2 linked regions of the Macaca mulatta genome follow. The protein of the gene in region 2 purifies or fractionates together with the protein of the main gene of each other region. This does not show direct contact. Links are inferred from orthologs where the notes say so. Each region holds a gene or a part of one and is shown on either strand. Other genes may lie near its edges.

Region 1 (4,036 bases), about 340 kb from region 2:
TTTACCTGTGTAAGTTTTTTCTCCTAAGCCCACTCCTGCCTCCAGTGCTCGAGACCCTGGTGCTGTGGGCACACCGCCCGTCCCAGCTGGGGCTCTCGGCAGCTTCTCCATGGGAGCAGCATCTGTGGCCTCCCGCCCAGCTGCCTCCTGCAGCCTATGGTGTCTGTGTGGGGACCTAGCAGGGCCCTTCTCCCTGAGCCGGGCGGTGGGAGGGTGGGAGCCAGGCTTCCTGCCTTCTGTCTCAGCGCTCCGCTCCCCTCTGGAGCCCTGGGGCTCCCCCACCCCTGGGGCTCAGGCCACTCCAGCGAGAGGACTGTGGGAAGGGTCGGTGGACAGGAAGCGGCTGGCCTCCCTTGGAGCGTCTAGGTGGCAATGGGTTAGGCTGCCCCCCTCAAGCGGAGCTGGGCTGCATAGGTGGTGACCCCTGCAGTTGGGCCTGCCCTGCCCCAGCCCCTCCGAGCCCCCAGCTGGGGTTTCTGCAGCCGGAGTGTGGGCACAGGGTGTGATCATGAGGGGCTCTTCTGCCCCACGTGAGGTGTCACCCCCATCTTCGGGCCTGTCTTCTTTTGGGAGCGTGGATGGGGACCGCCGTGCTTCCTAACACATAGATGCCTTCTCTCCTCAGTCATCACCCCTCCAAAAACAGTCCTGGACGACCACACGCGGACCCTCTTTCAGGTACCCGAAGGCCTCTCTGGGGTGCTGCGGGGCGGGGCCCTCCAGGGAGGGCAGGACGCGAGGGTGAGGCCCGCAGTCAGGAAGGAGTGGCTTGGCAGGCGCTGGTGTGGGATAATAAAGCCTTTGAGAGCGGGTGGGTTCAGAGGGGGCCGTGCGCCTCTGAAGTTGTTTCTGACAGGTCTTTCCAGCCTCCTCTGCTTCCTGCCTGGCCCCGGGTGAGAAAGGGCCTGCTAGGCGGCCTGCCTGAACTGGGGCCGCTTGGAGGTCTCGGCCCCCCTGGGCTGCTGTGCTGGGGCCAAGGCAGCACCGGTGCCCGCCCAGGCGTCTGGGTGAGGAAGGGCCCGGCAGGCCTGGGAGCAGGGCTTGGGGAGCCCCAGAGGGACCAGGCCCTCAGCTGGAGGCGGCCGCCTGGGGCTTCAGCTGCCAAGTCTGTGTTCCTGCCCCTTCCCCCTTCCCGGCCTCTCCCGCTGGCCCCGCTGGCCCCTGCTAGGAATGCCCTGGTACCCATAGCTGTCCGCTGCTTCTGTGGGTCCCTGCCACCTCCCTGAGAGCTCCTGAGGGTGGGGCCAGAGTGAGGGTGCCCGGTCCCCAGCCCTGCTGGGCCACCCTCCAGAGCCAGAAGCAATGAATGTCCTGTCCTTGGCCTGTGGGAGAGCCGCCTGGGGCCTTCCGAAGCCCTCTGGCCTAATGGTTTCCTCTTCAAAGCCTCTTCAGATATTTTAATTAGCAACAGAGGCGTTTTTTTTTTTTTTAAGTGGCCACAGGCCTCTGCAGAGGCCTGGGTTGGAGGTGAGAAGCTTGCTTGCTGCCTGGGGCTGCAGCCACTTGCTGAGATGGGGCAAGAAGGCTGGCAGCTGCCAGGGGTGATCAGGAGCAGGACTGAGCGGGTTTCCCTGAGACGGAGGCAGGGGAGGGGTGAGACAGTCCCCTCTCAGCCCCTGAGCTGCCGGGCGGACTCTGGGCCTCCTTCCTCCGTCTCCACCCCCTCCCTTGCTGGCCAGCCAGTTGATAAACATTGAATTTGGAAGATGCCTTGGGGTGGAGGAGGACCAGTGTCCAGGCCTGCAGCCCACCCTCCCACTGGGAGGCCCCCTGAGAGCACTGGGGTGCTGCTGCGCTGTTCCTGGGGATACATGGCTTCCCCGCCAGCCACCATCTCCTGCCCTCCGTCAGCTTGGCTCTAGTCTGGGGGCCTCTCGGGGTGGTGTCCCTGGTGACATTCCTGCCTGCCTGCCGTCAGAGAGCTGGCGGGGCCGAGGGGGGGAAGCCTGCCTCCCTGACAGGCAAGCAGGCGGCGGGCGTGGAAGCACCGGCTTTCATGTCTGTCTCTGGCGGGTCCCTGCTCCGGCCCCTGCTTCTAAGAGGGACAGCGTGCGTGGGTGTGGGGGCTCGGGTAGCCCGGCAGCCCTCTGTGGCCCTGGCCCGGGAGAGCGCAGGTTTTCTGGGAGGGCTGGGAGGAGGCGGCCAGGATTGAGGACAGGGAAGTGTGAGCAGCGTGGGGGCTCCACTGTGGGGAACAAAGCCCCGACCGCTGCCTGAAACCTGCTTCCTGGCCCTGGGCATCAGGGCTGGCATGGTCACCTTTGTGTGCAGTCCGCATCCTCATGTCATAAGGAAGGTCATCCTGGACTAGGCCCACCTTTGATGTCACGGTCACCTCACTTATCTCTTCAAACTCTCTGCTGTTTGGGCTTCCTTCCGTTGGCTTTGGTGGGGCAAGCCTGGCTCCTAACACCCTCTGTTTGTTGGAGCTCTCAGGCTGCCTCGGGGGACCCTCTGCCAGGACACTGGCCACCCACTTGGGAAGGAGTGACTGGCACTTCCGGCCTGAGTGCCTGCTGGGCGCCCACCCCTAGCCAGGTCTGTCCTTCCTTTCCACCCAGGACAGCCCCGTCCTGTACTGCTGTGTTGCCCACTGCCAGGGCCTCTTGGGAACGACAGGCCCCCTTCCTCCCACCCACCAGGCCCTACCCCACCTGGACCCTCTGAAATGTTCCTCGTTGACAAATGGTCTTGCAGAAGGTGGGATGGCTCCTGCAGTCCCCGCTCCCGCTCTGTGGGTGGATGCCCTGTCTCTCCCTGCCCGGGCACCGTGGTGCCTTCTCCCTCCCGGGCACCATGGTGCCACCTCCCTCCCGGGCATCTTGGGCTGTAAGGGCTCCTCTCTTGGCTTCGTTTCCCCGAGGGTGGTGCCGTTCTCTTTGGAGGGGGCGACCGGGGCGCTGGGCCACGTGTGCATGCAGCCCCTGCAGAGTTGCTGCCCCATGGGGGTTGGCGTGGGCCTCCTTTCGGAAACTCTTCCTGGCAACACTGAGTGGGGTAAGGGGCTAGCAGCAGAGAGGTGGCCGGATTTGGGACCCCAGTGTCCTGGGCAGCAGCGAGGGAGGAGCCGGCCCCAGGCCCTCAGGCTGTGTCAGGGCAGGGCGGGTGCCCCCACTTCTCCCTGTCAGCCGAGGGAGCCAGGCGGGCAGCCTGAGACCTCCTGGGGCAGTGCTGGTGGGGAAAGGCCTCTCAGCCTGAGCCTCCCTCAAAGGCCCGTCCTGGGCCCTGCTCTGGGTGGCTGGGGGGATGGTGTGACCCACCTTCCTTTTCTAGCCCCAGCTTGGTGACCGGGTGGTTCCGTTCACCCTGGGTCGCTTACTGAGATGGCGCCTGGGAACCAGGGCAGAGAACACCCTTTCCACCAGTGGGGGACGGAGGTGACATGGACTCTGGGAGGCTCCTTTTTTGGGGTCCATCCAGAGGCCGAGCCTCTCCAAGCACGGGTCAGCCTCCATGCCGCCCAGTCTGCTGACCCTCCTCTCCACCATCCCCTCGTCCGAGCAGTGGGATCCCTCCTGAGTCAAGGCTGGGCACGAGCACGTGGGGACAGCCGGGTAGGCTGCCTGGCTCAGTGCTCCTTGCATAGAGGCGCAGACAGAGTCCGGGTGCCCCAGGCCCGGCCACCAAGCCTACTTCCCTCCGCTGGCGTTCCCGAGTCCTGCCTGCCCCTTTCTGTGCGTCCCACGGGGCAGTGCTGGGTGAGGGTCCTGTCCTGTGCGGCTGTGATGAACACCAGGTGCCTCTCTGCATCGGTGGCTTCTGAGGGAGCCCTCTTGCCCCTTGCAGGTGGGGCTGGCCAGGCCTCCTGTGCCCACAGCGGCCTCTGGGCAGTGTCCCCTGGGCTTCTGTGAGCAGTTGCAGCCTGGGTGTGAATCTTGGAGGCCCCGTGGTGATGAAGCATGCCGTCCGCCTGTGAGAGGCCGAGACCACGGCGGCTCCTGGCGCTGTCCTCCCCGTGCTCCCTTCCTGGCTCCCCAGCTTCCGGCGCCTCTTCGGGGCCACTCGGGCAGCCCCTGCCCACCCCACAGGCCCTTCT
Region 2 (4,500 bases):
GCTTACTGTAACCTCCACCTCCCGGGTTCTAGTAATTCTCCTGCCTCAGCCTCCCGAGTGGCTGGGACTACAGGCACACGCTGCCATGCCCAGTTAACTTTCTGTATTTTTTTTTTTTAGTAGACACGAGGTTTCACCCTGTTGCCCAGGCTGGTCTCAAACTCCTGAGCTCAGGTAATCCACCTGCCTTGGCCTCACAAAGTGCTAGGATTACAAGCGTGAGCCACTATGCCCCAATTTTTGTATTTTTAGTAAAGACGTGGTTTCACCATGTTGGCCAGGCTGATCTCGAACTCCTGACCTCATGATACACCCGCCTCGGCCTCTCAAAGCACTGGGATTACAGGTGTGAGCCACTGCGCCCAGCCCAGAAACTTTTAAAGACCTTTTCTTAAATTCAAAATAACTTCTTAAATCAATTTCAAAAGAAGAGTGTTTTAATTCCTCTTCTTTTGAAGAAGAGATATTCAACAATCTGAGAAATTCAATGAGATCTAATGCTGTCAATGAGAGCCTAACCTTATATACGCTAGTGGGAAAAAAAAAATGGCCTTGTCTGAAACACCTTTCACTTGTCAATGGTTACTTTAACTCAGTTAAAACTACAAAGGTAGTTTGAAAGAAGGTTTGAGTGCTAATTCCTAACCTATTTCTAGGCAGAGTCACCAATGATTAACACTTTTTTTTTTTTTTTTTTTTTTTGAGACAGTCTCGCTCTGTCACCCAGGCTGGAGTCCAGGCGCGCAATCTGGGCTTGCTGCAACCTCCATCTCCCGGTTTGAGTGATTCCCCTCCCTCAGCCTCCAGAGTAGCTGGGATAACAGGCGCACGCCACCACACCCGGCTAATTTTGGTATTTTTAGTAGAGACAGTGTTTCACCATGTTGGTCAGGCTAGTCTTGAACTCCTGACCTCGTGATTCACCCGCCTGGGCCTCCCAAAGTGCTGGGATTACAGGCGTGAGCCACTGCGTGGCCACATTTTATTCTTCAAAGGAGTCAAAGGTTTCTTGGCCAGGCAAGGTAGCTCAGGGCTGTAATCCTAACAATTTGGGACCCCAAGGCAAGAGGATCCCTCGAGCTCAGAGACCAGCCTGTGCAACGTTTGACCAGGAGTCAACGTTTCCTAAGTTTCTCCTGGACCCTATATTCATTCCACTCATCTCCAGGTTGGGAAACACAGAGGCACCAGGAGGGCCCCTGAATAGAGAGCTGATGGGACCACCAGAGAAGAGCCTTGTGCGCAAGTGTTAGGTTATCCTGGAGACCCATCTGTCTGCGTGAGACGGAGTCTCATTCTGTCACCCAGGCTGGAGTCCAGTGACGCCACCTCGGCTCACCATGTTGGCCGGGCTGGTCTTGAACTCCTGACCTCAGGTGATCCACCCACCTCGGTCTCCCAAAGTGCTGGGATTACAGGTGTGAGTCACCGCGCTGGGCCTGGAGACCTATTCTTAACACCTGGCAAAACTGCAGAGACTGTTACAATGCTACAGTATGAACATGACTCCTCAGTCAATCCTGCTTCCCCCAGAAATCCCAAATCTTCCTTAATATTAACCAAAATGCTCCTGTCCAATGGTCAGGTTTTTTTCCCCATCACATTTACTTTTGGGGAGAAACTTCTCACAACTTAACGAGGGCCTGGTTTTCTCTGATTTGTCACTGATTTTTTTTACCTTAAGGGGGGGGGGTGAGTGACAATTTATTTATTTTTATTTTTTATTTTTTTGAGACACAGTCTCGCTGTATAGCCCAGGCTGGAGTGCAATGGAGGGATCTCAGCTCACTGCAACCTCCACCTCCCGGGTTCAAGCGATTCTCCTGCCTCAGCCTCCCAAGTAGCTGGGATTGCAGGCGTGCGCCATGACGCCCTGCTAATTTTTTGTATTTTTAGTATTGGTCTTGAACTCCTGACCTCAGGTGATCCACCCGCCTCGGCCTCCCAAAGTGCTGAGATGACAGGCGTGAGCCACTGCGCCCGGCCGACAATTTTAATTTCAGGTAAAAAGTGAAATCAACATCATTTACAACATTCCTCTTAAAGAGGAATTGTCAACTTTTCCTTCCAAGCAAGGAGCAAAGCCGGCAAGTTACTGTTTTCATTTTCCCAGGTCCTCTGGTGCTGAGGGAGCTCTGTAACGTCCCCGTCTGCAGAGCTGCTCTCTTCAGTGACTCATGACAAGGCACTTGCTGGGAAGTGGGAGAGCAGGAGGAGAGAATCAGAGGGAGATTAGGGTAAGAGGTGTCCCTGGCTCTGAGAGGGGCAGGACTGGCTGCGGGTCCCTGGAATTAGACCAGGAAGTCTCCTGGAGCCGGGAAACGCGAGGGGAAGGAGGGCGGTTTCTCGTCGCCACAGTCCATTCTCCCTGCAGAAAGGCTCGGCCTTTCCCTGCCCAGGGCAGAGAACCGGGGTCGCAAGTCCTCCGGGGACAGACAGGGACGGGAAGAAGCCGAGGGGGTGAAAGTCCCCGAGAGGGGCCCAGCCACTGCAGAGAAAGCCCCGGCGAAAGAAGGGAAAGGGGCCGAGTCGCGGGGCCGGCAGGCCCGCCTCCCCCACAGGCCGCGGCCGGCAAATCTGCTGCCTCATCCCGGCGTCCCCGCTCCCGCCCGACCGCCGCACTCACGATGCTCTCGGCCATGGCGGCCGCTCCTGCCTCCGGGCTGGAGCCCCGGGCCGCCGCCGCCTGCCGCCCCAAGGGCCTCGCAGACCCGGCCGCGGCCTCAGCCCCGGCCCCGGCCTCTCTACGCCGCCGCCACCGCCGCTCCAGCTTCGCCCGCCCGGCTCCACCAGCCGCCGACGTCCCCGTGCCTCGCTCAATACGCTCCCCGCGGGCGCGCGGCCGGGAAACCAGGTTCCGGCCCCACCAACTGCTCAACGCATGCGCAGAGCTGCGCCGCTGACCCTCCCCGCATCCTTGTAACTAGAGGAGGGGATTTTGGAAAGATGCCTCTGCGATGACTTACGCTCGTCCTCGGAAACCCAAGCGGTACCGAAAAGCCCAAAAAGGAGGCAAAGACGAGCATCCGAAATCTCACCCAAAAATAACTACTGCTGCGTATTGTAGCGTATTATAATTGGGGAAACAGCATTCCGAACTTCTCTCCATGCACAAGTAAGTAGAGAAACAATTTCAGGAAGGGAGGATCACACCTTCATGTTATTTTTTAAAGTATTTTTTAAATTTAACATAAGAAAAACAAGTGAGTTTAAACTGCATTTCAGGCCGGGCGCGGTGGCTCATGCCTGTAATCCCAGCATTTTAGGAGGCCAAGGTGGACGGATCACCAGAGGTCAAAAGTTGGAGACCAGCCTGGCCAAAATAGTGAAAACCCCGTCCCTACTCAAAACACAAGATTAGGCCATACGCGGTGGCTCACGCCTGTAATCCCAGCACTTTGGGAGGCCAAGGCAGGTGGATCACCTAAGGTCAGGAGTTCAAGACCAGCCTGACCAATATGGTGAAACCCCGTCTCTACTAAAAATACAAAAATTAACCGGGCGTGGTGGCACGTGCCTGTAGTCCCAGCTACTCAGGAGTCTGAGGCCGGACAATCTCTTGAAGCCGAGAGGCGGAGGTTGGAATGAGCCAAGTTGGTGCCACTGCACTCCAGCCTGGTCGACAGAGTGAGACTTCATCTCAAAAAAAACAAACAAACAAATAAACAAACAGAAACATCGCTTCACAGATTCTAAGGATTTTAGGAATTGGATGCCAGGAAACCGAAAGAACAAATATATACCTATTTCACAACATCACAATTACCGTGAGGGTTTTTTTAAACTATGTTAAATTATGTTAATTGAGGCCGGGCACGGTGGCTCACTTTGGGAGGCCGAGGAGGGAAGATCACAAGGTCAGGAGATCTAGACCATCCTGGCTAACACTGTGAAACCCCATCTCTACTGAAAAAATACAAAAAAAATTAGCCAGGCGTGGTGGCAGATGCCTGTAGTCCCAGCTACTCGGAAGGCTGAGGCAGAAGGGTGTGAACCCGTGGGGCAGAGCTTGCAGTGAGCCAAGATAGCGCCACTGCACTCCAGCCTGAGCAACAGAGCGAGACACCGTCTCAAAAAAAAAAAAAAGTTAATTGATTAAATTGTGTTAGTAATTGTATTAGTTTGCTAAGGGTGCCATTGTAACTGCCCAACAGGTTGTCCTTGCCCACTGCCTAGACTTTATCAAGACAGGGGAATTGCAATAAAGAGTTTAATTCACACAGAGCCGGCTTGTACGGGTTACTGAGGTTTTATTACTACTCAAAAAAATCAGCGTCCTCAAGAATTTGGGGATTAGAGTTTTGCTTGTTTTTTTTGTTTTTTTGTTTTTTGTTTTTTGTTTTTTTGTTTTTTTGTTTTGAGACGGAGTCTCGCTCTGTCGCCCAGGCTGGAGTGCAGTGGCTGGATCTCAGCTCACTGCAAGCTCCGCCTCCCGGGTTCACACCATTCTCTGGCCTCAGCCTCCCAAGTAGCTGGGACTACAGGCGCCCGCCACCTCGC

Evidence for each region.
Region 1: the proteins of NPLOC4 (region 2) and ASPSCR1 purify together in Homo sapiens (affinity purification with mass spectrometry; 3 studies listed by BioGRID and IntAct, with this or other methods). This does not show direct contact. The link is inferred for Macaca mulatta from reciprocal best matches to the Homo sapiens genes NPLOC4 and ASPSCR1.

What each region holds. Positions count from the first base shown.
Region 1 is NC_133421.1:91,683,357-91,687,392, forward strand, and holds the end of ASPSCR1 (tether containing UBX domain for GLUT4), read left to right. Parts: coding exon 1-9; intron 10-535; coding exon of another isoform or gene 536-625; coding exon 626-678; coding exon of another isoform or gene 679-741; intron 742-2,561; coding exon 2,562-3,287; 3' UTR 3,288-3,421; downstream 3,422-4,036. UniProt on the Homo sapiens protein: Tethering protein that sequesters GLUT4-containing vesicles in the cytoplasm in the absence of insulin. Modulates the amount of GLUT4 that is available at the cell surface. Enhances VCP methylation catalyzed by VCPKMT.
Region 2 is NC_133421.1:91,341,404-91,345,903, forward strand, and holds the start of NPLOC4 (nuclear protein localization protein 4 homolog), read right to left. Parts: upstream 2,824-4,500; 5' UTR 2,642-2,823; coding exon 2,627-2,641; intron 1,692-2,626; exon of another isoform or gene 1,688-1,691; intron 1-1,687. Other genes in the region: TSPAN10 (tetraspanin-10), read left to right, coding at 3,108-3,115. UniProt on the Homo sapiens protein: The ternary complex containing UFD1, VCP and NPLOC4 binds ubiquitinated proteins and is necessary for the export of misfolded proteins from the ER to the cytoplasm, where they are degraded by the proteasome.